3 linked regions of the Oreochromis niloticus genome follow. The protein of the gene in region 1 purifies or fractionates together with the protein of each later gene. This does not show direct contact. Links are inferred from orthologs where the notes say so. Each region holds a gene or a part of one and is shown in the gene's direction. Other genes may lie near its edges. The genes, in order: wasf2, brk1 and cyfip2.

What was found.
Region 2: the proteins of wasf2 (region 1) and brk1 purify together in Homo sapiens (co-immunoprecipitation; 3 studies listed by BioGRID and IntAct, with this or other methods). This does not show direct contact. The link is inferred for Oreochromis niloticus from reciprocal best matches to the Homo sapiens genes WASF2 and BRK1.
Region 3: the proteins of wasf2 (region 1) and cyfip2 purify together in Homo sapiens (co-immunoprecipitation; 3 studies listed by BioGRID and IntAct, with this or other methods). This does not show direct contact. The link is inferred for Oreochromis niloticus from reciprocal best matches to the Homo sapiens genes WASF2 and CYFIP2.

Annotation. Positions count from the first base shown.
Region 1 is NC_031985.2:22,540,460-22,551,856, forward strand, and holds the start of wasf2 (actin-binding protein WASF2), read left to right. Parts: upstream 1-5,684; 5' UTR 5,685-5,830; intron 5,831-6,968; 5' UTR 6,969-7,001; coding exon 7,002-7,134; intron 7,135-7,341; coding exon 7,342-7,476; intron 7,477-7,613; coding exon 7,614-7,767; intron 7,768-8,958; coding exon 8,959-9,076; intron 9,077-9,218; coding exon 9,219-9,340; intron 9,341-10,332; coding exon 10,333-10,488; intron 10,489-10,777; coding exon 10,778-11,247; intron 11,248-11,397. Other genes in the region: methyltransferase-like protein 24, read left to right, coding at 386-522, 686-953, 3,185-3,490. UniProt on the Homo sapiens protein: Downstream effector molecule involved in the transmission of signals from tyrosine kinase receptors and small GTPases to the actin cytoskeleton. Promotes formation of actin filaments. Part of the WAVE complex that regulates lamellipodia formation.
Region 2 is NC_031970.2:16,914,179-16,924,337, forward strand, and holds brk1 (putative protein BRICK1), read left to right. Parts: upstream 1-5,586; 5' UTR 5,587-5,739; coding exon 5,740-5,857; intron 5,858-6,348; coding exon 6,349-6,431; intron 6,432-6,529; coding exon 6,530-6,556; 3' UTR 6,557-7,324; downstream 7,325-10,159. Other genes in the region: rbm5 (RNA-binding protein 5), read left to right, coding at 8,598-8,614, 9,690-9,870, 9,964-10,122. UniProt on the Homo sapiens protein: Involved in regulation of actin and microtubule organization. Part of a WAVE complex that activates the Arp2/3 complex. As component of the WAVE1 complex, required for BDNF-NTRK2 endocytic trafficking and signaling from early endosomes.
Region 3 is NC_031966.2:30,316,490-30,327,397, forward strand, and holds the start of cyfip2 (cytoplasmic FMR1-interacting protein 2), read left to right. Parts: upstream 1-5,138; 5' UTR 5,139-5,323; intron 5,324-10,908. Other genes in the region: itk (tyrosine-protein kinase ITK/TSK), read left to right, coding at 1,462-1,619, 1,712-1,777. UniProt on the Homo sapiens protein: Involved in T-cell adhesion and p53/TP53-dependent induction of apoptosis. Does not bind RNA. As component of the WAVE1 complex, required for BDNF-NTRK2 endocytic trafficking and signaling from early endosomes.

The DNA of each region.
Region 1 (11,397 bases):
CTCTGACTGCATGACTTGAAACTTTCACCGTGCTTAATGTGAGCACAAAGTAGGAGCAGCGTATGTGACAGAAAATAAGAAAAAAGCAGAAACAGTCCCCGTTAATTATTCAATGCAACAAATTAAAGCATCTCACGTGTGGCCTTTTTAAACAGCCGCCATCAAATTATGAGTTTATCGTTAAACAATTCTGGTTTATTCAAAGATATTTCGAGCCATGACTCTGCAATGTTCTCACAAATTACACAATTCTGGCCACTTTTCTGAACAACTTCTCCTTCTTTAGCTTCCCCTCTTCTCATTTGAATGCTAATTCTGTGTCGCGCTGTTTCCAGACCTCCATCCAGCCAGTCTTATGTGACTCTTTCCTCTTGTCTGTCCCCAGATGAACTGCTCCAAGGTTTTATCTCCAGGGCGGGCTCAGCCAGCACAAAGCCCTGCAGCGCCAGCCCATTGGCTGCTGTGTGCTGAGGACTGGCTCCTTCCAGCTACACACAAAACGTGTGTCGCATATTCCTTCAGGTGTGCCACTTGTCTGAGCCTTATGTCAGTGCACGTGCTGCTATGCATTCTTATCACCGGTTCAGTTGGAATAAACAATGCAATGCATATTTAATCATGCATGCAATAATGTTCAAACGGCCTTTGCGCTCTCCTGCCTTCCTTCCTGTCTTTGTCTCTCTAGCATGGATGGGGGAGATGCAGACTTTCTGAAGACTGTGTCGGGGCTGGGATGTGAAATACACTGTTTTGATCCCAGCAACTCTAATGCATCTGGTGGTCACCTTGGCAACAGTTTGGCTAGTAACCATGGCGATGGAGGCGTGGTCAGCCAGCACAAGATGTGGCTTGAGTGGCGAGCTCCAAAGAAGCGCGCGCACAAGAGGAGAGGAAACCCGGGTGGTGTTTCTCAGACACTGGCAGACATCATGGCAGCTCTGGGACATCACACAGTAAGACACGCACGCATGCACACACACCGAAATGTAGACAAACAGTGCCAAACAAACATACCTTAGAGTCTTTTCACCCCAACATACCCCGAAAGCTCTTTTACTCAGATGTTCCCATAGCAACAGGGCTCTGCGCCATCTCTGGCTACCATGGCAACAGTTTAAGTGAATGAATCACCCAATTGCTTCCTGCAGCCACAAGAGGGAACTGCATACCTGGAGTTTGATTATGTGCGGTGTGACAGAATTGCAAGCAGTCCAGTATGTTCATCTATAAATAATTAGTGCCACAGCATGGAGTTAAAATATACAATAGCTTCATATGCTGTCATATGCTTCATGTAAGCAATAGCGCCACCATAGGTGGATAAATGATCAAATGAGTGGGTTAAATTTTTTTTTGGGGGGGGCTAAACTTTCTCACTGTTAGATGGACAAGGAAAATTCTAACACAGCTGTATGGATTCAGTGGATGATGCAGAGGAGATTGATACAGACCGTGCACATTTGTTGCATTTGTTAACACATTTGACTTTCTGTTATTCAGATTTCATCCAAAAATAACCAAACCTGGTGCACAAGATGTTTGGACAACTCAGAACACTGTTCATGTGCTTAATTAGAGATTTCATGTATTGTTTCCCCCTGATTGGACAAGCAAATCAATTTTGGCTGCTTCAGTGTCTGATTGCCTCCAGTTTGATCCAAATTTGGTTCAAGTATGTAGAGCCCATGACGTAGACTACACAAGTGGCTGCCATTGCCAGCTTTTAAACCTGTGTGGCTCAGTTGTTCCAACATTTATGACCGACAGTGCTGTTAATTAAATCTACTGTGATTAACCAGATTTTTTGTGAAAGCTGAGTTCAATTTTACTCGCCACACTCAGTTCTGATTACTGTCAGACCTGTTGAATCAAGAAATCACTTAAATACAACCTGTCTAACAAAGTGAAGCGAACACGTCATGTTCACTTCACAATCTAAGGAAACAACTGAGAAACAAAATCACTGACGCATATCAGTCTGGAAAAGGTTACAAAGCCGTTTCTAAGGTTTTGGGCCTCCAGTGAACCAGGATGAGAGTCATTATTCACAAATGGAGAAAACTTGGAACAATGGTGAACCTTTCCAGGATCGGCCGGTCTACCAAAATTACCCCAAGAGCGCATCAACGACTCATCCAGGAGGTCACAAAAGAACCAAGAACAGCATCTTAAGAACTACAAACCCCTCCAATGTGACTGAATTAAAACTGTTCTTCAAAGAAGAGTGGGCTAAAATTCCTTTACAGTGATGGAAAAGACTCATTGTCAGTTACTGCAAACACGTCATTGCAGTTCTTGAAGGAAGGGGGAAAACACTGTGTGAAAGCACTGTAAGCTGGGGCATATGAAACATTAATTGACTGTAAGGTCACAAACAAGATCGCCAAGCGCCATGTAATTGTGGCACTAGAGGTTATAACAGTACAAAAAAAAGAGTACTAATTACTGCTGCATGCTAAAGGGGGAGGGCAACAGACTCAACATTTTAAGTATTGTTCTATTTTGTGACTTTTTAGCTTGTAAGGATGTTTTTTCAACAGTTGCCAGTGAGCTGCAATCGATTTCTCCGAGAACTGCAGCTAATAATTCTAATAATTTGATCTTCAATATTTGATTATATATAATCATATGTATGATTAATAAGCAACAGGTCCACTATGGAAAGCAGTAAAATGGTAAATGAACTGATACTTTGAGCATTCAGAACACTTTCTCATTACAAGCCTAGTCACCCATTCACATATACGTTCACACTCCAACGGATGCATTGGGCGAAACTCCAGGTTCAGTTCGACATGCAGACTAGGGGATGCAGGGATTGGCAGACGACCTGTTCTATCTCCTGAGCCACAGCCACCCTCATAGCATGAATATATCCTAATAAACTACCATTAAACATATAAACAGTATTGGGAATTGTTCTTAGTAAAGCTGAGCTGATCTCAGTACCATCCCAATTCACATCAGCTGATATGCAAATCTAATATGTTTTTTTTACAGTGCTTTAGCATGCTGACTGGAAATTCTGTTCCTGACTTAATCAGTGTCTTTTCTGTTGTTGCTAAAAGCCTGCTTTGTTCTGTATCTGGTGTTTTGCTAACTTAGGCTTCCTATGTATGTGCTTGGGAGGGTGGGGAGGTGCTAGACCAGAGCCGTACTTTCCTCTGTTCTTTCTTCTCCTTAGGTTCACTTCCTGTATGCTGACCTGCTAAGCGGCGAGTGGCGCGTTTTTCAGAATTGGATCGAGGCAGGAACTCTACAGAATGTCCACCATCTTGTTGCCAAGGTGCACCTGCAGTGGGCAGGGTTTGAGGTGGCCGGTAGGGATGAGGAAGTGCTCCGCTATTGGTTCAGTGTCCTTCAAGGTCTTCAAGCTTGTGGACTCAAGCTGGTTCACAGCTCTGCAGGAGAGGGTCACAGTGTCCTAAAACAGACAGTAGCAAATGCTCACAGTTCCTACACACTCAGCTGGGTAAACACACGACACTGAGACTCACACACTGATGGATGAAGCTGCGCACACATTATCCAAAGAGGGGGAAGCAGCTAGTGAAGTTTCCTGTTTTTCCTGGGATTTCAGGCATACACAGTTCTTCACGTGACAACTCCCTCTAGTGGACATGAAGAAATCTGCAGTTAAAGGGTAAAACCAACTCTGAAACAGAAACTGTATTTATATTTAAAACAGCATTTTATTGTATCCAAATATTGAGCAGAAGAAGGGCTTGCTGTTTTAACCAAGTTACAGGCCAAATAATAACAACTATTTTCAACTCAGATTTTGCTGTGTCACAAAGGATGTATGTATGTTCCAACTATTTCTGAACGCAAAACAGCTGTCTGACAGGCTATTCTTTATTTAACAGTTGTACCATAACGCTGTGGGTTTGTTTGTTTTTTTACCAATGAATCCCAGAATGCAACCCTTTGACCTGAGTCTGATCCAACAGGTTAACTTCTTTGAGTACATCACTGTAAGCTTTAATTACTTATATGTGCAATAAAATTTTACATCAAAGAAGAGCTTAGATTTTATAGTAAAATGAGTGTGTATACTGTGAAAATGTGTTAGAGGAAAGCAATCAAGTTGGAGTTTAAAACCTAAATTCCCACCACATTAAATTCCAAATAAGGGTTACTCTGTTAGTGACTGGTTGTAATGCAATGGGTCAGGTGTGTCAGAGCACCTATAATTTGTGTCCTGTGGAAGATAAACACCTTGAGGCAACTATTGTTTCAATGTTGCACTATATAAATAAAACTGAATTGAATAAAAAAATAATTATCTCTTGTTTTTTTCTATATTTATCCATATTTTCCTATATTTATTATAGCTTTATCCATTCGAAAAACTGTTATGTGCTTGATATGATTTTTCCTGTTAAGACATCCAATTGTGTCCACGTTTCAACCGTTTAGCTGTTGATTTGAGGTGAAGTTGAAGAATTTGAAACAGCCCGAAGCATGACGCTGCCACCATCATCCTTAACCGCTGGACCGTGTTGTTTGGTTTGAGAGCCTCAACTTTACTCTTTACAACTTTAGAGAATAGCTTAAGCTTTATCTTGTCCATTGACCATCTCAACCATCAAATCTTTCTTCTGAAGGTATTTGGTTTGTCCATGTGGGCAAATTTAAGTTGAGCTTGAAGATGTTGATTTTGGAGCAGGGGCTTCCTTCTTGGTAAGCACCTTCTCAGTCCATGGTGATGCTTCACTGTGGACAGTGACACTGGTGTTTCTGCAGTTTCCAGTTCGCAGTAGGCTTGAGCCTTGGTGGTTCTTGGATTATTCCTGAACATCCTAACCAGTTTCCTGTCACTGAGGGTGACAGTTCGGGGCTTCTTCTAGGCCTTGGCAAAGTGGTGACACATCTCAATAACTTGTACTCACATATAGTTGTTTGTACTGATGATCTTGGAATCTGTGGTTGTTTACAAATGACAAGGTTTAATGTCTTTATGAGTGTATTCTAAAGGTTGTGTTTAATAATTTGAGAGAAGCACACATCAACCTACGTACTGTATTTACATGGACTTGATAGTGGGAAACAGCACAAAAAAGTAAAAAGAAAAAAGAAGTCTACAAGCGTTCAACAATTAAATTACTTTGATAGTCTATTTCCTCCAACCACATTGTATGGACACTTGATCTATGAAGGAAAACAAAAGCAGCTGGGTGTAACAGTGTTAACTTTATATGCCAAAACAAATGTGGGCACAAGATAAAGCCCATTGCAACATGAAAATAACCACACCCGTCTCAAATGTATTCACCACATATTCACAGAGTTGACGCCAACTTCTATGTGATTGAGTCTTCACTGGATGCACGCTAACTTGAAGCTCTGCAGTTTGCTCGGGCTGAGCTGAGGTTAAGCAGGCACTTAACACTCACCGAGGCTTACTGGACAACCTGCTTGTCGGTAGGAGCTTTTCTCCACAGCACATTTTATCCAGTCATTCCTAATGCCAGTCATTCCTCGGACGCGTTCCAACTCGCTTGAGCGCACGTTGGAATGTGGCGCTGCCTCCACCCTCTCTTACGTAAATTGCGGACAGATGTTTGCCGCTAGTTTGGGTGGAGTTGCGCTTTTTACGTTGCAACTTCCACATCCTGTTCTCGGTTATAGCAGGCGACAGGCCCAACAGCCAATCAGCTTCGAAGAACTCCGCCGCTCGACCAATCAGAAGTTTGCAACCTCGGGACTTGGGCGATCTGTTTAGCTCGGTCTCGCATAGAGTACCGAACAACATTTCTTAAGAAAAATCTTGAGACAATAACAACTGTAGGGCTGTATAAAGAGACGCCTACGGTTACCAGGTTTGACGGTAAGTGAAATGTCTTTGTTGAGTGTTGTTTTGTTTAAGCGAGTGGCGTAAATGTATGTTTGTTTGGCTTTTCCTTCGATATAAGAGGCGCCTAGAAGTTACTTCCTGCTCTGACAAGGCCGACATCCCAAATTACATTTAATCCATTTAAGTGAAGTTGGGGACGCAAAAAAAGTGTAACCCGTCTTTTTTACCACGTATTTACTCACGTCAGAGAAAGTTAGGAGCTCGGTGTAAAGTTGGGGAAAAAAGTGCAGTAAAGCTGGCTAATAGCACTTTGTCAAAGGCAGAGTGGGCGACCTGTCAGTGACGAACAAGCCTCTAAGCCTGAAATGGACGCATTCCTTCATTCACGATTAATCACTAAATCCTCCAGGTAGCTTGGTAATATACACATCCCGAGGTACGAAGGTAGCGACCCTCCATTTTTTCCCGCTTTCTTTTTCTTTCCTTTTCTACACACAGTAACATTTATGCCATGATTCACCACCAACAGGAAAAAACTTGTAATTAGGCAGCTGCAATGGGCAACAGCAGTCACAACAGGCTGTACTTAGAGACTAAACCAAAATCAAGGCCGCACTGTGTTGAAAGCAGGGAGAGTCTGCAGTCACTGCAAATCTCTGACCCCTTAATCGGAACTGTCGTTTGCTTATCTTATTCAGTCTGGACACTGTGGACCTACTGCACTGCGTGAGCTCACACCGCTGCCCTGACTGTAATCTGTTTAAAATAACGTGATGTGTTTCCACTGCTGTAAGCAGTGGGGAAGTCACAAATCCACCTAGTTCTGCTCTTTGCTATTTTGGACATATTAGATTTGTCCACTCTAAACCGGGTGGGTGGTGCATGTTCGATGGGTGGAGCGAAGGCATAGTTTTGCTTCTGCTTTAGCTCTGTCTGGGTCAGTGTATTTTTGTAGGCGTCTGTCTCATGTGACTTATTTAGGAATGGAAGGAACATGTTTTTTGTTTTTTACCTCAATTTGATTAGTCTGCGAATTGTTAGGACCAGTTCACAGTCGTGTCATAATGAAAATAGGTGCTCATTGGGTGCGAAAATATAGTAAAATTTAATATTAATTTGATTACATTTATATGTTTTTCACTCCCCTGACCTACCTCTCCTTTTCCATCAGGGTTGGGCTGCCCTACCCCCAGCACACCCCACCATGCCTCTGGTGACGAGGAATATAGAGCCGCGGCATATTTGTCGCCATCCCATTCCTTCTAACATCCGCAGTGAGCTGGAATGTGTCACCAACATAAGCCTGGCCAACATCATCCGCCAGCTCGGCAGCCTCAGTAAGCTTCTGTTATGCTCGGGTGTCAGTGTGTGTATGAATGGTTAATGAGCAGTGATGAATATGTATTACATGGATGTTTATTGTTTTTAAACAAAGGTTAATGCATTTTTATGTAGATATGAATTTTCATTGGCTATGTATGCGTGAGATAAATCCTTTAATTGGTGCAAGTGAGAAACTTGTGTGTGTGTGTGCACGCGTGCAGGCAAATATGCAGAGGACGTGTTCGGGGAGCTGTTTGTTCAGGCTGGAGAATTTGCCGGCAGGGTGAGCTCGCTTGGAGAAAGAGTGGATCGCCTGCAGGTTAAAGTCACCCAGCTGGACCCCAAAGAAGAGGAGGGTATGTACTTGCACATTTTACTGTTAACGTTACTGCTTATGCTGGTATCAGTGTAGAGTATTGGTTTGAAACCTCCTTTGCAGAGAATCTAATGAACACAATACATGTTTAAAACATTGCCGGTCTGTTTCTCTCAGTTACTTTGCAGGGAATCACTGCAAAGAAGGCTTTCAAAAGCAGTCTGACCCAGGACCAGCAGCTCTTCACCAGGCCGTCTCTGCCAATGCCTGTACAAGACACTTACACGACCTGCGATCCTCCTCCACCGCTCAACCAGCTCAGCGTATACCGGTAAGATGCTGCACAGACCAAGCTCATATTTATCCACTGCAGCAGCTCCAGCAGTTAATAACAAGAACACGTGCAAGCGCATGTGCCCATATGGAAACACACATGCATGGGAGATTCTTGTAATGACTGTGCATTATTTAAGCTTACCCCTGTTACATGTGCTTCTTATCAAGGAGTGGGTCTCGGAGGTGTCTAGGCAGTATTAGGTTTGATTTAAGGAGGCTCAGTCCAACACAACTGGCAGTTTTACACTAGAAAACGCATAGTACGCCTTTGCAAAATCCTGGAGAATTATGGTGTCGACGCCATCGTCTTCCCTGTTGTTTTGTTTTTAGTGTGTAACCTGTTTAAGTCCAGGCAGTTTGGGGGTTTTAATACTTACAGCTGTTTGACAAGCCACACTTGTTGGTTTTGCTGTTAAATAACCCACCAATCAATTGATTGTGGGAAGATACTCTGTGGGAAATAGCCCCAGAGGGCAGTATGGTGGTGTCGTGGTTAGCACCATTGCCTGGGTTCTCTCCAGCTGCTCCAGCTTCCTCCCACAGTCCAAAGACATGCATTTTATGTGAATTGTTGATTATGAATCAACTGTGGGTGTGAATGTGACTGTGAATCGTTGTCTCTCTGTGGGAGCCCTGATTGGCAACCTGTCCAGGGTGTACACTGCCTTTTGCTGTGTAGTAGTTGGGATAGGCTCCAGCCTAGATAAGTGGAAGAAAAAGGGACGGATGGATGCATGTAAAGCGTCTTTAGTCACAAGCTAAGATATCTGTGAGTGTAGATCATTTACAAGGCAAGATGTGTCATCTGAAGTGTGAATAATCAGAAGGCAGATGAGAGTGAGAGGATGATCTCTGCGTAATTACCCCAGCAATGTTAAATGTGATGTGTAGAGCGGTGCCTGGTTTGAATGTAAATGTGGTAATAATTTGACTTGGATCATTCTTTGGGGACAATGATTTATCCGCGCAGTGTGATGTGGATGTGACTAAAGACATTAGTGTATTTTTAGTGAAGTTTTCTTTTAAAAGGGGAAGTTTACTGGCATCTTAAGACTATCACACATGGCAGATAACCATCTTTTAACTAACACTGTATTTATTTTTTTTTGTTCATACTTGTAAGATAGCACATTGTGCAAATGATAACTAGAAATAATTATTAATGTCTGTAAATTGTTGTCTACAGAGACGATGGGAAGGAGGCCCTAAAGTTTTACACCGACCCCTCCTACTTCTTTGACCTGTGGAAGGAGAAGATGCTGCAGGACACCAAGGACATCATGAAGGAGAAACGCAAGCACAGAGTGAGACTCATAAACACCCTCATACGCACAAAGACATGAGTCATTACATAAGTAAAAGCAATCTACAATTAGTCACATCACATGAAATTGTTCGAATCCAGTGCTAATCTTGCACTTTTTAAACCGTCTCCTTAATGAGCAGAAGGAGAAGAAAGACCATCTGAACCAGCGGACCCTCAATCCTCGAAAGATCAAGACCAGAAAGGACGAATGGGAACGGCGTAAGATGGGAGAGGAGTTTGTTGTACCAAAGTCTGACTTGATGTAAGTTTTCTGAGATGCCTCCTTTTTGTTTATCAGTCATTAACAGTGACCGGGAATCAAAAGAACAAAAACCATCAAAGTCTAATTATAGTAAAATAATATCTTCACAATAGTCCATCACAAAACGTCAATCATTTTCATCCAGCGTCATCCACAAGGCTGCAGTGGCTCTGAGCCCTGACATACCCAGTAGGCTTTAATGTGGATTTCAAGCATATCTTATAAATAATTTAATTAATAAAATAAAAAGTTATTTTTTTCTCTTTACAAAGTAAAAAAACCGATCAGACATTATTTTGCTCATTCTTTCCCCCCTTATCACCGGATCTGTACACAGTGGTTTGGGTGGTATGTCCTGTCAGAAAATGTTCTCGGGGGGTTGGGTGTAGAGCTGGCCGTCATTGGAAAATTGCAGTAAACAAATGTGTGAGTCACACTGGGCCCTGTTCTTGATGGGACTAATATTGTTGCATACTTTTATACGTGTGTGTGTGTGTGTGTGTGTGTGTGTTTGCATATGTATATATGTTTGTTTTTTATTTTAATATATGTCATAATTAATAGAATGAATACAACAAATATATGTGCACAAATTAGTTAATAGTACTCATTATAACTCAATAACATCAAAGAGTCCTAAATTCCTTGTTTTGGATTATATTCTTTTTACCAAAATGGGAAGTTTTGCTGATTCAGCTCCTGCAGTGTTTCATCGGCCTCACAGCAGGCCTGATAAGGAGAAAAAACAGTCCGATTTCCTGACAAGCTGTATAGATGAAGAACAAGCTATTCTCTCTCAACACTTTGTGTAATGATCTGTTTCTGCTGCTTTAAAATGCGTTTGGCACGTCTCTGAAATTGTTATAAATGTGCATAAACAGATGCTGCCTGAGCACCAAATGCTAATCACGTCCGTGTTTCTTATTATTTGTTATTTGTACTTGTGGTCTGGTTTATTTTTGGACTCACAGCGATGTCTCATTTCTTATAAGGAATTCTTCTGAGGGCCTGAATGGCAGTATTGGATCTGGGGAGGGCTTCAACTCTGAAAGCCTTGAGCTTAGCACAAACTCCTATGCTTATGATCCTAGCTCGCCTCCTCCTCCTCCCGGTCCCGATGAATTGCCTCCTCCACCTCCGGACATGGCGTAAGTACTGTAACATCATACATACCAGCCCACACATGCTCATAGCACACCACCACCCCTGCAAACATGTAGTGAAAGTACAGCCATATGAAAGTACAGCCAATCCTATACGCGCCTTCTGAGCTGAAGCTAAATGGATTATAGTCTTTGACTTTGTGATTCTTTAATGAATAGGAGCTGCTCTGGAAGCAGCTGCACACAAATTGCAGGTTAATGGAGGGAAGTGAAGGCTCCATTATGCCGTTTATATTATCCTTTATACCTCCAACTTCCTCTTCATCACTTACAGGTATGGTAACGATGGAGCACCCACCCAGAAGCGTGTCAGCATGCTGAGTCCAAGCCACCCTCCTCCAGCTCCCCCCACTGCTTCTTCCCCAAACAACTCCCGCCCAAGTCTCTCTCCTCCCCCTGCACCTCCTCCCCCTCCTCCACCTTCTGGTTTTGGGATTCCCCCACCTCCCTCTGGCTTTGACACCCCACCTTCTCCCCCTCCGCTCTTCTCCTCTTCCGCTCCTCCTGCTCCCCCTCCTCCCCCATCTATGTCCGCCATCACTCCTCCACCACCTATGCCTGCAGGCGGGGGTCCACCACCACCACCTCCTCCACCGCCTCCCCCCGGTCCTCCTCCACCACCTTTCGAAAATTCTGCTCCTCGTCTGCCACCTTCTGGCGGGGTAACAGCCTGTTCTGCTCCCAAACCTCAGCCAGAGCCCGTCAGTGACGCTCGCAGTGACCTGCTGCAGGCCATCCGACAAGGTAATGCACCGCAGGAACACCTCGGGCCTCATGGGCTGGACCAAAGTCTCAAACATGGGAAACGAATAAAACATGCAACACATAACAAACATACATATATAACGAACCATGAAGAGTTTTATTCTGTAATAAAGTTACACATTTATACAG
Region 2 (10,159 bases), on another chromosome or scaffold:
CAATAAGGTTCAGTTAGTTCCATAAACAATCAACATAACTAAATTTCAGACAGAGAATTACACAAATGTTGCAGGTTGCTCTAAATTGGCTGTAGGTGTGAATGTAAGCATGAGTAGTTTTCATTCTTTTTATGTGATGAACTGTTGACCCGCATTTCAAATATTAGTTCTCTCAGCCCTTTGTTTTGCACTAATGTTACCAGAACCTCCCAACTCCCAGCATTGTAGCAATGCAATAACTTCTGACTAACCATTTCAAGGTGCTATGCCTTGTTACACTGTTTTGGTAGAGCCCAGTACAAACACAGCTCAAGCTGGACTTGCTTGAAATGTGGGAACAAGATTTCGGAGACCCAAGAGAGGGTGCAGTATTAAGTATCATGAAAACAGATCCAGCAGAAATTATTTCCTGCTGTTTATAGGAGATTTGAGGAAAGATGAGTTCACAAAGGGATCAACTGGGAACATACACAGACATCTCACTAAGAGCCAAATGACTGATTGTGCTGTTAGAAGCACTTGAGTGACAATAAAGCAGATAGCTACAGCTTCAGTAACAGTGCTATAAGCTTAGCAGTCTGACCTTTGATTGAAGTTGGTTGTGCTGGCTCACAGAACATCTGATGTGGTGTGCACATTTAAAAAGGGGCTCCAGAAGGACATTAATCTGACATCAGTGATGACTTGGTAGGTTTAATGGATAGAGGGTTAGGTGGATGAATTGATGCATATTATTTTCTTTAGATCAAAATAAGAATAAATAATTACAATTACAGATAGAGCCAAATCACATTACTATCAAGCTAATGAAAGAATAAATTAGAATAATATCAATTTCCGCCATCCTATTTCCATTTTTCTTACAGGCAGCAACAGAAGGCTAAGATTCTTTGTTCTCGTCTCAGTGGTAAGGAAGTAAAAGGCCTACCAGGCCAAAGAGGTGGTGGTATTTAGACTCCTGGATGTGTCCAACAGATTGACAGGTTACATGATACAATGTATACCAGTGAAGTGAAGCTGGAAAGTTGATTTTAACACTGTATCTTCTTTTTAGGCTAAATAGGCCTTCTAAAGCACCTCATTTTATTGAAGACTCCCCGAAGTGTCAACTCCCTTCAGATAGACTAGAGCAACGATTTTGTCAGGATAAGCCAATGATGTTAGAGGATAATTTCATCACAACCACCCTGGAAAGGTGTTTTATTAACTGGTGGATGATTACAACAGGAGTGTATCCTACTAATTAAACTGCATTAGTTTCACTCCCTAGTGTTTTATTATAGTGTGCAATTCACACTGTAACAATACAAAATCAAACACAACACAAAATTAGAACCAGTTATTTATATGTGTATATACTGTTTTAATGATATACTAGGAAAAAGTTTTTTTCGAACATTACTTTTAGCTAATTAATTCAGTTTAGTGTTTTCATTTGTACTTTATTCATTGAACTTTTCCCTTGATGAATAGTAGAAATACTACATACCCTACATTTAGCTCTGTTTTCAGACTGTATCAAATCAGCTATCCAGTAATGCACTTGGATTACATTCCATGACATCTGAATCCACAAACCACACCACACCCTGACCAGATGTGCCATGACAATGCTCAAGGGAAAACACAAAAATCAGTCAGTCCCAAGAGTCTTCCAAAGCGTTGGGCGGCTAAAAAACACAGAATATCACTACAGGAGAAGTCCCTAACTTGACTGTGTTGTTGAAGTACACAATGCAGCTGGATTAATATGATAAATCTCATCATAAGTTGTCTACTTATACCTGGTGAAAAGTAGGGTATTCGTCGTCTAGTGCCATTTTAAGAGAATGGTAACATCGCCATCTAGCGGTCAACTGCACCGCCTTGTTTAGATGTTTTTTAAATATATACCTGCTTTTTAGGTTAATATATTTTAAATTATTAACAAAATAATAATAATAATAATTTAGACATTACAGAAAATAGTCTTTATATTATTGCTAACAGATATGGTATAGTAAAAAATAGTGTTTAGCAGATGTTTGACCTTTTATTTATTTAATTATTATTTACCTTAGTACTGTCAACATAAAACACTCCAAAAGTGGAAGCTGTGATCCAGTCCTTTTCGAATCCCAAAAAAGCTCCCGAAAGTGTCGACGAGGTCCTCGTATGAACCTGTAGGCGGGTGTAATCTTTCTTTCTTGTTGGCTGATGGCCAATTATCACAGTAACTTCTGAGCAGATTCCCGAATACAAGATGTAACGGATAGCAGGATATCAGGATACTGACCACACACACATTCATATAGTCTGACATGATTGTTTACCCACAGGGGGGAGCCGTTAGTAAACACAGTTATGGCTCTTATTTTTTAAAAAGCCACCATGTTTAACAGCATGGTTTGTGTGTTTTCCACTTCTCCAGTCATTAGTTCTCAAGTCATTTCACTAAGCAATAAATAAATTCACTTCCTGTGACTTCCTGGAAAGTACCATTCATGCACACAAAAAGGGGGGATTGTTGTAAACAAACTGTAAATCTCTTAAGACATACCGATGTGAAATACGTTTTGCTAATAGAGTTTCTGCAGTTTCGGCTGTGTAGGTTTGTGTACGTGTCCAATATCAAAATTGGCAGTGGTCATTTGATAAATATTTGCTAAGTAAAAACTTAACATTATGTCATTTTTTGACTTATTTTGATTGGAGATTTAGACGTCAGTGACTTCCTCAAGTGGTTAGAAACAATGATAATTACCATACTGAGTTACCACATTTGTTAAATTCTTGTGCTACTTTATCTTTATAGATTGGTATCTATAAAGAAATAAATAAAAAAAATAGAGAGAGATTCCGATAGCACGTGAAAATTAAATGCTTTAAGTCCTTCTACAAAACGATAATAAAACAATACTACTACTACTACTACTACTAATAATAATAATAATAATAATAATAATTTGCATTTGCACTGAGGGGTGTTACTAGATTAGGCTACATGTCCCGCCCTAAGAATAAAAGCGAGGGCTGGACTTGGAGCAAATTTGAAACGTGATAAGGAAAAGCCTTTTAATCCGAGTTCACGGTTTCAGAAGTCTAAATCATCTGGATTTTTTAACAATGGCTGGCCATTTGAAAAGGTTTTACGACCTGACAGCTAAGCTGTTGTCTGGAGAAACTCTCCGTTTCTCTGCACTAAAGGACAAAGTTGTACTTATTGAAAATGTGGCGTCTCTCTGAGGAACGACAACCAGGGACTACACTCAAATGAACGACCTTCATTCTCGCTACTCCGCCGAAGGTCTCGTTATTTTGGGTGTGCCCTGCAATCAGTTTGGACATCAGGTACAAAGCGTGTTTGTTTTTTACTTGAGAGAGAGAGTAATGTTTCTGAGGTGACCAAAACTCCGGACTAGCCAAATCCAGGCCTAGCTTCCTTATTCTTGACATGTGAGAAATATGGCCTATGAGCCGTATTTTAGTAACACAACAAGTTTAAAGACATGCATGTGTGTTATCAGTCTGAAATGAAACAGTTTTAACTTTAGGAATCTTTTAGTTAAAATAGAGTGGGCCGTAAGTGTTCAAATACATGTAAAGTGTCTTATTTAAAAAAGTAATATATTACATGAAGTGTCTTATTAAAAGTATTCTGACTGTTACTAAAATATTAGCAAATTATCAGTGTCAAAGCAACATTTTAGCCTGCATATTTATAATATTTATAAACTCCTGGTATGACAATGCTGTTAACAGTATTGATTTTTATATATAATACAGCGCATTAATTTCTAATATCCTAAATTTTCAAAGATGTTCTATGTCCAAATACCATATCTGTCGGATACATTTATCAGGTTCATAAGCACGATTATTTACTGCTAAAATGTCATGATCCAGAAAAATACAATACAAAGTGTAAATTAGGGAATAAATCTCAAATACAAATACACCTGCCTCTATACTGCACCTAAGTACTCTAGAGGAAATGTAGGTTACACTACAATTCCTCTTATTTAGCTTGTTTAATTAAAACCCCACATAAATGTCTACATCTATCTAACAGTGCTTGTGTTTTGGTGCAACAGGAGAACTGCAAGAACGATGAAATCCTAAGATCTCTGAAGTATGTCCGTCCAGGGAATGGCTTTGAACCAAAGTTCCAGCTCCTCGAGAAGGTGGATGTGAATGGAAAGGATGCCCACCCCTTGTTTGTCTATCTGAAGGAAAAACTTCCATTCCCCTGCGATGATGCCCTGGGTCTCATGAATGATCCAAAGTACATCATTTGGAGTCCAGTGTGTAGGAATGACGTATCCTGGAACTTTGAGAAGTTCCTGGTTGGTCCTGACGGGGAACCTTACAAGCGCTACAGCAGAAATTTCCTGACAAGTGACATCGAGGCAGATATTAAACAGCTTCTTAAGAGAATCAAATAAAATGTGCTGGGAAATGTTATGGGTGATTTAAAACATAACAGTTCAGAAAGATCAATCAGCACATACACATATTAGGATAATATGCCATGCTTTCAGATCTCAAATTCCAAAAATGTTATAGCAGGCCTGGGTTTGTTTGTGATATTTTAAATGGATTGTTCTACTGGATTGTTCAGCCTTTTAATTCAATGACGACACTCCTTTAAATGTTTTTGTGAGGAGGGGTTTCTGATAAAAATGTAAAAGTTTGACGACCATTGTGAATGTCTTTAATAAGATCGCAAATATTTTCACTTGCTTGACTTAAAAGGAGAAATAAATGTTATTATAATACTTGTGTTGTGCTCATTTCTTACTTGCAATGGTAATGGACAGGTAGCCGGTTTACATCAGGCAGGAGTCTTTGTGGACTGCGATGTTCATATGAGTGAGAGTAGAGAGCAGGTAGAGGTATGCGCTGGAGAGAAGAGGAATAAAAGTAGAAGCGAGACAGAATGAGATAAAAACAGGTGTAAGACTGAAGATGCAATGAGAGGTAGTGAAGGTGGATGAGTTTTAATACCTGGGTTCAACCATCCAAAACTATGGACAGTGCACAAGAGAGGTGAAGAAGAGATTGCAAGCAGGGTGGAGTGAGTAGAAATGAATGTCAGGGATGAATTGTGGCCAAAAAATAGCAACAAAAGTGAAAGGAAAGTTCTCACTACAAGACAGTATTGAGACCTAGTATAGTTGGGACACGGTGGAACCCCCAAAACAAAAGGAGGCTGAGCTGAAGGTGGCAGACTTGATGGTGCTAAGATTTTCACTGGGAGTGATGAGCTGGATTAGAAATAAGTACCATCATAGGAACAGCTCAGGTTCAGCAGTTTAGAGGAAAGGTTAGAGAAGCAACTCTGAGGTGCTATTGACATGTTCAGAGGACACATAGTGGATATATCAAACAAATGATGTTGAATATGAAACTGCCAGGCAGGAGGAAAAGATGAAATCCTCAGAGGAGCTTCACGGATGAGCCAAGGAGGACATGCAAAGGGTTGGTGTGACAGAGAAGGATGTTAGGGATAGAGTGAGATGGAAGCAGGTGACCCGCTGTGGCGACCCCTAAAGGTAGCAACCGAAAGAAAAATTGTGTTGTGCTCATTTCTATAAAATACACACAAACATCCTTCAGAAATGTATGTAGGAAACTTAGGAAATTTCGGTAAATAGAATCTTCATTGGGGGAAAAAGTGTTGTATAATATTTTCACATCGACGCAACACTTTCCGGTACTTCCTGGGTGAAACCAGAGGGATACTGCAAGTCGTCCAACATGGCTGGCCAGGAAGATCCAGTGCAAAGAGAGATTCACCAAGACTGGGCGAATCGAGAATACATAGAAGTAATTACGAGCAGCATCAAGAAGATCGCCGACTTTCTTAACTCGTTTGGTAAGCTTTTAACAAACTCACTGGGCAGATTTGTGTAGATCACTAGCTGAACTTAGCTAGTTCAGCCAGCTGTTAGCATTGATGTTGATGTTTTCAATGGCCACTCCCAGCTAGCAGTTAGCGCGGCTGTTAGCTGTCAGCTTGTTTTTGTTTTGGAGGAGGATTGTGACATTTTGAAGAGGAATCGGCTTACATTTTCCTCCAACTACCTGTCCTTTAAGAGTCAGTCGTTTTAATGAATTCATTAATATACCAGATTCGACAGACGATAGGAAAGCATTAGCAGGCTGCCGTAACCGCTAATGCTAGTGTTGTCGGCCAATATGTATGCGGATGTGCCCTTTAAACCTTTTTAACCCAAAGTGACGGTGTGCATCTTTGTTAAGCAGCTGTTGAAAAACTGATGAAAATGTCATGCTTCGTCGTGGTAACCTCTAAACGTTCTAGTTTTTTTTAATTTATTTTTTTATTTGTTTTTTATTCTCCATCAGACATGTCGTGTCGATCTCGTTTGGCCACACTCAACGAGAAGCTGACAGCGCTGGAGAGGAGGATTGAATACATTGAGGCAAGGGTAAGTTAACTGAATGTAAAGTGCCTTTATTTCTTTATTTGACTTTGTCTTTTTCTCAAGTAACCATACCCATTACATAAACATGTCTCTTATTGTAGGTGACAAAAGGAGAAACCCTGACCTAGAAGTGGCCATTGAAACTCATAACATCCCCAACCTACCTGCCATCCCTCGCCCTGAATTTTTGGACTAAGTGTGATGGACTCCACCCTCCTATTTTGGGACGATGTGGACCTTTTTTTTTTAAATATATTATATGGCTGGATTTTGTGTTATTTTATCTCATGACGCATTTGTACAGAAGATGTATGTCTGACTCGGCTACCATTGATTCAAGCATCATTATATTCTATTACAAAACAAAACTAAGCTCCATTAGTATTGGTTTAAAATAAGTCTGGAGCACAATTATGATTTATAAATTTTGTATCACTGCAGTTTGACCATCTGTGTTGTGTACAGTGTCACTTCCAAATGAAAGCTGTATCAAAAGAGGAACATTTGCCTGTGCCAAGATGAACAATTATTGTGTACTTACATTTAATAAGGGCCTCCTTGTACAGCAAAGTGTTTGGTGATGTTTCTGAATTTAACTACTGTAATAAATGACCTTAAATAACATTGTAGCTGAACTTAACTTTTTTTCACCAGTTATGTTGCTATGTTGAAGATGGGTCTAGTTATGACTATTTTGAGTAATCAGACAGACACACTCACAATGTTAATACAAACTTGTAGTGTATATAGACTAGAGCTTGACATGAAACAACATATTAAATGGGTCAGATTGCTATTGTATACAGGTTTTGGTACAGTTAGAAGAATTCATTGCAATGGCATTAATGTGTAACAAATGTTTTATGAATAATAAATCATACTTGCATAAAGAGTAATGTGCATTCTGGTTGAATTGAATTATTAATAGCGTATGGTAAAAATAAAAAGCGGGGTTATAGCATGACAGTAATTTAATTATGTGTCCAGCAGAACATTAACAGTTTTCAACTCCATGTAAAACCTGCAGGGAAATTCTAACAGCAGCGGGATTAAGCGCTTTCAGAACGCATCCATATACTGCTATTACGAAAATGTAACGAAAACAGCCAATGAAATGGCGGAAATCTGCGAGATGTGATCGTTTTGCCCTGGGTTTTCCCTCACAGGCAGCACTACGCTATATCCCTTTGCTGTTCGTCCAGGCTTTTCTACCCAACTGAGCACTCACCAAACCACCAAACGTTTTAAGAAAATAAAAGTAGCAACGCACATTTACTGTGAGAGGATACACAATTTATGGAGAAGACAAACTCCACAGAGAAGGACTTTAGAAACCCAGGACTTTCTTATTATGAGACAAGAGTTCTAACAACAGTGCCACCATGCTACTTCATCCTAGCTTGTATAGGTTAATTTATCTTATCCACCATTTTTCCACTCAAAAGTTTAAACCTTAATTAGCTACTACTTTAAAGTCTTCTTTGCCAATGATTTGTTAATTTTAAGAAAACGCAAAAAACTAACCATGCTCTATATTTAAATACCAATAAACTTCTATATACGCTTTGTTGCTGTTTTATGTTTTGTTTTGTTTGTTATGATAATTATAACAACATGTAACCCCAGTAAGTCTTAACAACTAACTACGGAAGCGTGAGAAAACAACCAGGTTGAGAGACAACTCCATGCCTGTAAGGCAAACTCGGGGCTGACTCTTACGTTACCCATAATGCACCGGGTGACACCGATGCATCTTGGGATAAAGAAGGTGCCATCGCAGATAAGTCTTTGGACGTGAGATGAATTTTCTTCTCCGCAATTTTTCTATTACCGTTTTGAAAAAATAATAGTGCGGGTGAAAAAAAAGCATCAAAAAGCTTACACTGGTAAGTTGCTTCACGTTCAGAGTTGAAACTAAATCTTTCGCGGTCTCTCGTTAGCGCCGTTGATTTTGGCTTGAGAGACGTCTGTTTGATAACGTCTAGCTCCATATAATGGAATGAAGAAAAAGGAGGGCTTTGGTTTTTGTTTCTCTCACGCTAAACGAGTTCACGCGACTACAAGGGGAATTGTTATGTGTAAACGAGTAAAACCACTACGTATATTTTTAACGGGTATTTTTTTTTTCTGTTTTCTAGAGGTCGTGTGAGTGCGGAAGCTGTAAGAAATATGGGGGCTGACAAAAGGTGAGTAGCAACATTAAATGCCAGTGCAGCTCGCCATGGTAGGTGTGGCTTATCATAGTGGGAACGGGAATCTTGTGTTTTTCCCGTCTCTGATACATGTTCCGAGTTTAGGCGATATGTTAAAACAAATAGTATTCAAAAGTTGTGTTTAAACTGAAATGGCAGACAAAAGTAGCGTTGATTTCTACCAGCATTTCCAGATATGTAAAACCTTACATTTAGTTTCTTTTTAAACCAAAAAATAAAGGAGACTAAATCTGTTTTCGATAATACTACAGGTAAAAAGTTTTATTGCCATCAAATTTTCTCGTAAAACGTGTTACGTAATCCGAATAAAAAGTTAGGACAATACAAGAATGTAAAAGTCATTATCTGCCAATGAGTGATTGCCAATGTTGTTTTTTTTGTTTTTGCTTTTTTGATATGAGTAACATTTTTGCCTGTTTTGGTGTATTGTACCTGCTGTTTTCTACATTGCAATCAATTAAGTCACTTTTAGCCACTTCAAAGTATCTTTAAAGAACCGATGTTGCATTTATTGCAATTTCTGGTTCCCTCTCAGCCAGACATATTTCTGTCAGAAGGTAGAAGCTACAATCTTCTTTCCTTTTTTAAAAACAAATACAGGTTAAAAGAAAAAAAAATGTCACAGAGATTGAAAATGTGACATTTTTCATGCACATGAATAAAGGATTTATAAATTTCACCTTGCCAAAAACTGCTTCAATCTGGTCACAATATTTTTTTTTTTCCAGTGCAAAAAAACATCATCATTCATGTTAGAGGTGTTTCAGATATGTTTGACAGACTATCGGCCAACAAGTCACTTACAGCAGTTTGAATTCCAGCAGTCTTTTTTTTTTTTTTTTTTTGGCATGACAGTGCTAAGATTAACTGAGAGACAATGCATTGTTCAAGGCTGGAGTCATGATAAAACTAAAATGGTAGCAAAGTCATTGAAATGTTATACATGTTGAACGCTAAGGTGTGCTAAGTTGGTTTGTTTATTGCAGTATTAGTTGTGCTCCTGTTTGACTTTTCTTTTTTTTCTTTTTTTAAATGGCCTTCTGAATAGGATTAGTCGAACAGAACGTAGCGGTAGATATGGTTCTGACCAGTGCCGTGATGAGTCTGAGTGGCGTGACAGACGTGAGCGAGACCAAGAACGTGGTGATCACAACATGCGCCGCTGGGGTGACGAGAGACGTGGTGATCGTTATGAAGGAGATCGCAGAGGATCACGAGAAAGCCCAGAGGTGTTTGTCTTAATAGCCCTTGGGTTTTAATACTGCATTTGAAAAAACAATTGTGCAATGACACTTAGCAGCTGTTGTTGTTTTGTGTTAAAGCAAAGGGAGAGGAAGCGTCGTAACAGTGATAGATCAGAAGATGGTTATCACTCAGATGGTGACTACCAAGAGCAGGACTACCGAAGGGAACCAGGGGACGAGAAGAAGAGCAAGACCATCATGCTGGGGGGTCTGTCTCCTCATGTCACTGAGGATGATGTAAGTATTCAGTTGCACTGGTCGTGTACACCCTTTG
Region 3 (10,908 bases), on another chromosome or scaffold:
ATAAAAGGGGTTACTACTTCTGTTTCTAAATAGAGTTGAATTATGACCTATTCTAAAAGGGTCTGGATCCAATTACTGACGTCCCTTAGAAATTGTGAAAAACAAATGAACTGTAGTGACAGTTTAAGCAGGTTATTGCTTTTTATTGGTAACACAAGTGTTTTCAATCATGATTCTATGCATTCAAATGGGAAAAGAGTAATAATTCAGCTGTATAGTATCATTCTTACACTGATCATGGGCAGGAGAAAGAGGGAAAAAGTTTGTCTGAGCCATCTTATAAAAGATTCTTCATGTCAAGATTTTTACTTCCTGGTTAAATAATGGTTTAAACTAAAAGAGACAGTCGGACCATCTACAGGCTGTGTGAAGTTCTTGAGACTGCAGCTGCTAAGAATATTAGGAACTCTTTCATTGGATTCTTTCATGCCAGCTTCAGTGGATGAGGCTACCAGAGGAACATTAACTCCAGACTAAACAGAGCTGATTTAAAGGATCAAAGTGCAAAAGCGTCTGTCGACACCATACGTCGCTTTCTGAATGAAGGTTGAAAAAAGAGACCCCGCTTTTGAAAGAGGATTATAAAAAAAAACCCTTAAACTTGTGTTTGATAAAATACAAATAGACAAGTCAAAGCGGTTCTTGGTGGATGAAGTTTGGGATATAAAACTAGTTTCCAAGTTTGGCGAAAAAAAGAAGCTTTTGAAGAAAAGAACGCCGGGGACAACGGATTTCATCAAGCCAATCTGGAGTGAAATACATTTATGTACCTGTGCCAGAGCTTTGTGCCAGTCACAGGCCATGCTGCTTCTTCCAACAGTATAAAGATCTAAAACATACTTCCAACAAGATGGACTGAAACAAAATCATTTGAGCAGAGTGTGGAAAAAGCTGAAACTCACAGTGGGGGGAAAACGTGTTCATCAAACCTGAATGAACCGCAGCGGTTTGAACATGAAGAGTCAAACAACCTACAAAGATGTGTGAGTGTGTGTGTAGGTGTTTGTGTGGGGGTAGGTAAGTAGGTGAAAGGGAGGTGGGCGTCCTCCTGTGAAGAATCACAAAAACTGCTCAGCTGCACAATATTAAAATTAAGGATCAAATACTTTAGCTAGACGACTTTATTTGTTGTATTGAATGAAAGCAAGATGAATTACTTTTAATGTAAGACCTTACAGCAGAGCAAATTTTAGGTGTGTGTGTGTCTCATGTGTAGGTGTGTGTGTGTGTTTTTAATGGGTAGCAACAATTTTGGCCAATTCTGATCTGTAGCAAATTACCCTCAAATGAGGCTAAAAATAAATATGTTTCAGTTATATAAAAAAAATAAATAAATAAAAACACACTGCACTGGACTAGAGGAGCTCACTGTTAAATGAACGATACAAGGCTCCTACCCTCTTGACTAACATGCTTCCATATTGTTTAACAAGTGCTGTCTCCGTGTCCGCCCCTCTTCAGGTGTGCTCATGTGGGAGGTGTACAACGAAGGCCGACTCCCCTATGAGAACCGCACTAATGCAGAAGTGGTGGACTCCCTGAACGCAGGCCTGAGGCTCCTGAAGCCGCGCTTGGCCCCGGACTCTGTCCACCTACTCATGGAGTGGTGTTGGAAGGAGGTGAGGACATTACCCTTTTTTCAAGCAGAACTTCTGCTGATCATAAAATGAGCAAACGATTGACTGTCGTTTGTTTTCTGTTCTGTTCCTAGAAACCAGACGATCGCCCAACATTTGGGCTCCTCTTTCACGAGCTGGCCTCCCTTTCAGACGCCTGAACCAACATGTGATTTTGTGATTTTTATATATAATATTTATTTTATTTATTGACTGTAACCAGTTGCTTGTCAGTTGTAAAGTTAGATGATTCCAAAACAATTTTATATCCTGGATTTTGCACTTTATCTCTTTCGTAGCTTTGTAAGTTTCCCCTGAGAGGGCTCACACAGTCCATTCACACAGCTACTGGTGCTTCCTGCAGAATCATGTAAAGGTTTGAGTAATTCTATAAGCCATATAAAAGTGAGATGTTTGCTTTTCAGTCAGCTGACTGTCATTAAACAGAATGTTTTACATCTTGTCACTTCTGACTCTCTAGTTTCCTCCACTACAATAATGAAATCTTGGCATAAGAAATATGTTTGTTTCTACATGAAGAAGTTATTGAAGTTGCCAGATGTTACATATATTTAGAAATACATGCAAAAGGCTTTCCTGCTTTATGGAGATCACTGAGTCACAATAGTCATATTTTTGATGATCATCCATATACTGTATATATAAGATGGACATAGCTACAACAAAGTCATGAGTCATGTTTTTTTTTTTATGAATTAATTTTGGAGTCATAGGTGACCACATTTGGTCAAGATTTATTTATTACTCATTGCTCGGATACATTGTAATATGTGGTAAGTAATTTGACTCATTGAAACTGTGCTAAATTTGGTACCGGGCCACGAGAGTTGAGCCTCCGGTGTTAAATTTATGGTTTTCAGAGTTTGTGTCATTAACTTGGTTTCCCTGGGTCTTTTCCCGTGTTGTAGTTGTGTGTCTTATTTTGAAAGAAATATTTACATGTTACCATAGCAACCAGAGAGCACTAAGGGCAGAGAGGAGGATGTTACTCTCAATGTTGTTGGTGCATTTCAGGAGGACGTTGCTAATAAAGTAACACAATTACACAGTGAATTTGCATTTATTATTATATTTACAAAATACCACAGTTTTTGGCTACGTACACACTGCAGGCGAAAGCGCATCAAATCCGATTCTTTTGACCCTATGCGACCCATATCCGATCATGGTATGACAGTGTGAACGGCACAAATCCGATATTTTCAAATCCGATCTGGGTCACTTTCGTATGTGGTACTGAATCCGATACATATCCGATGTTTTAGAAAGCGACTGCTGTTTGAACGGTCATGTCGCATTAAATCCGTCTTTTACCAGTTATCAGCGCCGGAGAAGCGCCCGAGAAGACATCGCGAACGCTTCCTGGCCATCCAGTGTAGATGTCAGTGAAACTGTTGGGAAGACAACGTGAACATTTTATTTGTACTGTATAATCTGCAGATTCTGACAGAAATCTGCAACTATCCTTTGAAGCACCGCTCCTCTCTAAAACAGCAATAAGGATAATTATTAGGTTATCTACATTATTATGTAAATAACAAAATAACTTAAAGCAAAAATTGGGAAACGTAAAGTCCGAAGTCTTTATATTAAGGGCCATCAGTCAAACAATATTGTTTGCTCTGGGTCTAAACAGAGCGCGTTGTGTGTGACGTCTTCTTTTGCGCATGCGGGCCGCTTTGATCGTTCACACTAGAGCACGTTTGCTGTCACATTTTATTTGTAGTGTGAACAAGCAGACAAAAAAATCGGAATTGAGCATTAAGACCTGCAGTGTGAACGTAGCCTTTGTCTCGGGTTAGGGTTTGTCTTTTCTTTTTTGTTGTATTTATCAGCAACACCTTAAAGGCCGGTCTGTTAAAATATTGTCTGACATTAAACCGGTCCTTAGCGTAAAAAAGGTTGGGGACCGCTGGTCTATACCCACATCAATTTTTCAGTCAAAGAAGCCATACATTATTGGAATGACTCACTTTTGGAGCCAGACTCCAGTGGCCAGTCAAAGAATTGCAGTTTCTGGCACAGACACAATAACTTCCGTTTTCCCCACATCAAATATGGAGGTGATTGGAGGTGATCAATAATTCTCTTGTATCATGTCAGCCAACGCATTCTTTTCTGAGGATAGTGGCAAGACCTGGAACTGCAGTTTCCTGCTGGGACATAAAGTAATGTGCAAAAGTCTTGAGCCACCACTCATTTCTTAATATCCATTATAGGAAAATGGAAAAAAAAAAAAAGGTGCAGAAATCTTTTTAAACATGTGCAAACATGCATGGAAATCCAGTGTAATTTGGCATACCTCGGCCTTTTCTTTCCATTTCCCTTCCCTAAGGATGTCTTCTTGACACCCACTGACACCATTTCGGATGCGGTTTTGGCAAACAGTAGATGGATCAGCTGAAGGGTCAGGCACATCTCTCAGGTTCTAAAGATACCATTTAAAACTGATTTGTTGCTAAATTGTGTGTTATTTGCAGATAGAATGAATGTTGGTTCATTGTTTGAGTGCCTTGGTGGCTTTTCAATGCTTGAAGTGTTAAAGCAGCCAATGTATAAAGAAAAACTTTGAAAGACCTTCAGAAAGCCTGGAGAACTATCACTCAAGACCACATTAAGAGGTTACAAGAAAGTCAAGAAATCAAGAGTGACTAAAGACCTCTGCACAGCATTTTCTTAGAGAAGGCCTTGCATATTTCATCAAGCCGATACTGAACACAACACAACACAACACAACTCAGTTACAACATATGGCTTGATGGTAGAGGAGTCTGGGTGCAGAACTGCACCTTTCTCCATATGAAAACATCTGGCATCTCATGAAATGGAAAATACTACAAATCAAACCCAGGAATGTCGAGCAACTAGAATCCTATAGCATTCAATTTTTGTGATTTCTTTGCTTAAAATTGTCCATTTTCTCAAATTAAGCATGTTATATGTTTTCTATGTTGTCGTGTGAATAAAAAATAGGTTTATAAGATCTGCAAGTGAAAATAGCTTTCTGTGGTCTTTAAACAGTTCACACAACATCGCAAGTTTTCTGGAATCAAGGTTATAGCATGTTGTCATTATAAAGTACTGTATTCAACACATGCATTTGAAATAATAAACAATAATATTTAACATGTATAGGTCTACTACATGCAACTTGAATTCTAAATTCTAAATAGTAGTACAAGTTGGGTGAAGTAGGGGCCCTTTACTTTTTTTCTATATCCTATTTATCATGTAATTAGAATTCATACAGAAAACTGAGAATTTATAACCGCCTCCTTTAAATGAGGTTACCCTCAGTTTCCCTATACATACAACATATACCCACAGCTTTTGATGTTATCAATTTAAAAGCCTGAAACGCATTATGTATTTATCTGTACCCAAAGTATTTTTAAGCAGAAAAATAGAAGCTCAAATGAACGGAATCAACATGTCGGGGCCCCTCTCATCATCGCCTGTGCTCCACTGTGACTGTCTCTTTAAGAAAATGCACTTGCAGCCATTTTCTGCTCTTTGTGTGGGGTGGATTAGCACCGGGTTGGTACTGGGCGAAACTAGAGCATCAGTCGACATAGAAGACGTGGAAAAAAATAAAATAAAAACCGAGGAAACATTGGATCGCCGTCGCAGACCGCGACACGGTCCGCCCGCTTTAGTTTGTCGCCGGACGGACATGCAATTTTCAGGTATGTGGCAAAAAGTAGCGATGGATGCAGACGCAGCGAAGAAGATGAACGGGGCTGGTGATGTGCTTTGGGTAGTGATGATGGCTGGAGACTGGAGTGCTGTTTTCCCCCCTTCTTTTTATTTTTCTTCCTTTTCGCATTTTACATCCTTTCCCTTTACTTATCTGTCCGTGCGCAAATGTAACAATAGGGGGATCCTTGTAAATAGGAGGGACTTGATTGGGATCGAGCGCCCCGCTTTATCGCGGATAATTGTGGCACATGAATGGGATCCCCGTTAGCTTACATCGGCATCGTAGCTCACGCTGAGATGGGTGGGGTGAGGAGAGGGTGCCTGTGTGGCAAGTGCACTGATGAATGATGGAGCACGTAAGGCTCCACGGTTTTCTGACCTGATAACAGCCGTTTCGCTGCACAGAGCGAAAAAAGAACGTTTTGGTGTTTCAGATTGCTCGGATTCACAACGATGCTCTGGCTTTTTAATATTTTTCCTTAAAGGTCCTCTCCCCTCTTTCCAATCGACTAACGGGCCACAGCATGGCGAGATGCACAGGATTGTTTCACAGCTATCGCACCAGCAGGCAGGCAGGCAGGCCCGTTACTGGTGCTCAAATGACAGGTTCACCCACTTCCGTCTCAGACAGGCTTAGTGTAAACCCAGATGTTTTTCCTTTCCATTTCTCTCCTACAGACGAACCTGCCAGTTTGGGTAGAAATATGAGCCTGCCATTGCTGCAGACTCTCTGAGCTGTAAATCTGTATGCCAGACCCTCACCCACAGGCAGTGATGTAATGCTTGAATCTTGATGCTTTGCTTCTGCTAATAGTAAGGATTGCAAAATAAAACCACAATGAAAAGGAAACCTGGTGCCATTAATAGTCAGGTAAAATTAGGATTATTTTAAAGTCTTGTTTAGGTTTATGATAGTTTTATGGGAAAACTTCACATTTTTGACTGACTAAAATGAGTGTTTCTTTAACTGAAAGTGTAATTTGCTAAGAATTATAATAATAATAATAATTATTATTATTGTCAGTATTAGTAGAAGCAGTAGTATTAATAAGAATAATTTGTTGCAATTCAGGTATTGTTGTTAATATTAGCTTGCGGTGCTTCGTAACCTCGCTCATGTGTTAAAACACACACACACACACACACACGTTAATTTATGATGTTATTTTTTATGTTCATGATAGCACTGTATATAGTCAAGTGGCAAAAAGTATTCTTCATATACACTAAAATATAGATAAATAAATACATAGGTTTATTGTTCTTCTTCTTTGCAAAATACATATTCATTGCATAAGATAAAGTAATCAATTACTCGTATTAGTAGCATCACTGCTCGATTGACACTTATTTACAGATGTACATTCCAATGAACCCAGAGTACCATGGCACTAAAATCTGTTAAGCAAAATGTATTTCCAAAAACTACAGCATGCATGTAACATACACATATGTCAACAACGTACATGTAGTGTAGATCTAATGTCAACGACTAACAAGTACACGTAATGTCAGCCACATACACATAACATACACGAAATGTCAACAACATACATGCAACATACATATAATGGTGTTCATTTTTCAGGTCAGGTACTTCACGTACATTTATAATTTGTAAAGATTTGACTGTTATTAAAAAAAAAAGTTCCCAAAAGCTACATAGATGTTAATAATCCTGGTAACATAGACAGTTTACATAGTAAGTTACAGATTCATTTGTGTCTAAGAGAAGTTAAGGGTCAATACGTACATATGCTACGATCATTATAGTAAGATAATAATTAGTTGCAACTCAAGTACTATTTACATTACTGAAGTGAATTCAACGTTGGTTTCTACGAAAGTTGGCTTACAGCCATCTGAAGTGAAAAACCATCAAATCATTTACTGTGAGGAAGCATGAAGTCGGTCATGTTCATGTTTGTCATGTTTTAAAATTAGAAGGAAAAAAAGACAATTAGCTAACACACCTAAACACCACCACAGCATCCCGCTATTATTGTCACGGAGAGACGTCTGGACTGCTAAGGCTAGTTACCAGCTGTATGTCAGGCTAATGTGGTCTAAACCAGTATAAAGCTAGAAATGGAGCTGTCTAACATGTCCCTGTTTAATACATCGGCTGAGAATAAATCATGAGTGGTTAAACTTGACTCATGAATTCGTCTCATCCCCGTTTCTCCTTTTAAGAGCTATGCTGTGAGTGCAACCAGGCAGTTCAACGTTAAAAGGGAAGATTGAATTACATCCTTTAGCTTATTATCTATTTTGCTATGTTTTGGGTAGTGAGGGGGGCTGGAGCCTATCCCAGCTGTCATGGGGCAAGAAACAGGTTAAGGCTGATTCTTGATATGAAACACCTACAGTCATATTAGAATCACCAATTAACCTAAACCCAAGCATGCCTTTGGGTTAGGGTTAGGTAGCTGGAGTAACTAGAGAGAACCCATAGGAGGACATGCAAACTCCAAACAGAAAAGCCCCAGACTGGAGTTCACACCAGACATTCTGTCACTGAGGCAATAGTGCAAACCACAATGCCAATGTGCTGCTTTCATACCAGTTCCATTCTATTATATTGGTTAAAATTAACATTTAAACATCCTTATATCTCCAGAGTTCTTCAGCACACAGTATATTAAGGAGCAGCTGAGTAGTCAGTTGTGAAAGATGTGTTGGAAGCAGTAAACTGGTCAACAGTAAGAACTTGTGCAAATGCTAAATTGTGATAGCTAGAAGACTAATTAAGGGCATCTCCTAAACAGAGGGCTTTGTGGGGTATTCCTGGTATGCATTAGTTAGGGCCTACCAAAAAGTGATGCAACGTAATCCACTTGGTGAAACGGCAGTTTCTTTGTCAGGTACTAAGGCTCGTTAATGCTTTTTTGGAAGGAAAGGCTTACTTATTTGAAGAGCTGAAGCACAAATCGCTGGAAACTTAATTCTGGCCATGATGCTGACCCCTGTTTGTGCTCACAGCAAGCATGTGAGCATTAGAAGTGGCCCATGGTGGGCTGCTCTGATTAATCATCATGTGGGCGGCTATATGTGTGCAGTGTTTACCTGGGAAAGCTATATAGGTACATAAGCTAGAATATTGGAATAAGTCAGTGTGATCATCAGGGAAGCATTCTGCTAGGAAACCTTGGGGTCATTATCATTCATGTGAGTTTCATTTTTCCACTTATCACCTACCTAAACATTGTGGCAGACAACAGCATTCAGCACATTTTCTCCTTTAGCAGAACAATTTGCTCTGCAAGAGTCCGATTTGTTGATTAGGCCTTCAGATTTCCAAGATGTAAATCCTGTGGGACGTGTCCAAAGAGGAAAAAACAATCTGTGCAGGTCCCACCTCACAACTGTTACTTGCCCAAAACAGCTCAGTGATTCAGGGTACAAGTACAACTATTTTGCAGTTGACTGATTTGAAAAGCACAGTGAGACAATGAGTCTAGATATAAATAACGAACTAGACAAAGAAAAGGGAAGCAGCATAAGCTGTTGTGGAACTGTAGCAGTCAGATGAAGTTATTATTATCACCACTTACAAATGTATTTTCATAAAGTTGCCAACATAAATACAACTAAATACACCTGGTTTACTTTTCGTTTGCTGTCTGTACTTGCCAAGCTTGGTGATGGTTATGCGAGGCAGGTTCTTGTTCTTCCCCTAGTCTGTATTCATCTCTGCAAGCATGACATCACAGAAATCATAAGATGAAAGCAGGTTTTTTCTTCTTCTTCTTCTTGTGCTGCTTTCAGAAATGACAACCAGCCTGTGAAACACCTCAGCCACACACCGTCCCCTGCACAGGATGCTCTGCACAGACGCTGCTGGAACGCACATTTAGCCGCAGAGTTAGTTGGTGTCGCTGAACGTTTTCTAAACGGTCGCATGCGTGACTAAATGCTCGAGATCGGTATTGTGCCTGCCTTTGATGCTGATCACATATAATCTTATTGCATGTGGGTGAATATGCTGTGTATTACAAAGCTAGCCTTGGGTGGGAGATCCCATGGAGTGGTGCGAGGCCGGAGTTGACACACTTTCTCTCACTTTCTGTCTTCCTCTCAGGCAAGATGTATTACACAAAGGCCTAGCAGCGTAGAGTGATCATATTTTTTTTTTCTGCCTGTTACATCATGCTCCATGTTCTCACTGCATCTCGTTGCTTTCCTCTGCTTTATTCATGATATTCTGGGATCTTCTCACCACCTCATGGTTTAGTGCTGTCACGAGGATGTCAGACCACAGCTCTTCATGTATAGAGGCTGCAGTTATAACGTGAACTCGGCGGGGGGGAGGGAATATTACTGTGTGAGTTTTGTGAAGCGAGTTGTTGTCTCGTTGCCTCGTTTGGCCCTCTTTGGTTGTTCAACTAGGTTTCCAAGTGCCCAGAAGGGAATGAAGGGGCCCTTTTTGCTGGGCGAAGATGCACATACACACAGAGACAGACAGATAAACCAACTGTTTAACAGAGCCCGGTATAGGGTGGGAAAGTTTGTTCAGCCAACCCAGGCTTTAGAGCGCGTCTGTATTTGCATGCACAGATGGGACTTTAGCTGCACTGAGCGCGTTTGTCTGCCCGACAAAGCCCCTGTAGCGAGCTGCGTGTTTCATTTTCTGTATGCCGAACGGTTATAAATAACCAACCGGGTCTTAAAAGAATCAGACAGTGTGCGCATCCAGGTTGTAAAGCAGCACAGCAGTGTAAAGAATACAGGAAACACTCTGTTCAAGATGACAAAATCCTCAGACGTTTTAAAAAAAAAAGGGTTTCTCACACACCCACACACCCACACACACACACACACACACACGTGTAGAGTATAAGTTGGTACACACCTTATAACACACAACATCCTTGATAAACTGCCGGCTTTTATCTGTTTCACAACCGCCGTGTCCAAATTGAACGTCATACTTAAAACAATGGAACAGAAACAAAAAGAGCAGTTAAAGGGCAATAACGCTCAGCAAATGAGTGGTACGCTATACCATAATGGAAAATGATGTCACCGATAATCAACTAAAGAAGCTGTTATTCACATAGCAGAAACGGGAAGTGGAACAACCTACATTTAGCATCCAGTAATCATTATACTTATCTGTGTACGTGTGTGTTTACGTGTGTTGATCATGGTAAAATCTGATATTGGTGACACCCGCGATAGCTGGAAGTACTGCAATAGTGACAGAAGGTTGGTAGTTGCTTTTCTTTTTTTTTTTCTTTTGTGGTGTTGTAACACCACAACATACACTCACGAAACTTTATGGGTCTTTAGTTCAGATCAAAATAAAGGTTGAGTTTTGAAAGCCCGTGTGGTCTGATCCACAAGTGCTAACTAAAGAGGCCAAGTGACCGTTTACCCACTTGTGCCACATTCTTTTTTTTTTCTTCTTCTTCTTCATTTTGTATTGCAGTGTAAACTGTATACAGAGTTGCAGCACCCATATAAAGTATCTTTACTGTGTGTGCATATATTTTGGAAGCTGGGTGAGGTCTGAGAACTCGGTGCTGTTTGACTGGTGGCTTACCATGTGAAAAAAATGTCACAGTCTGAT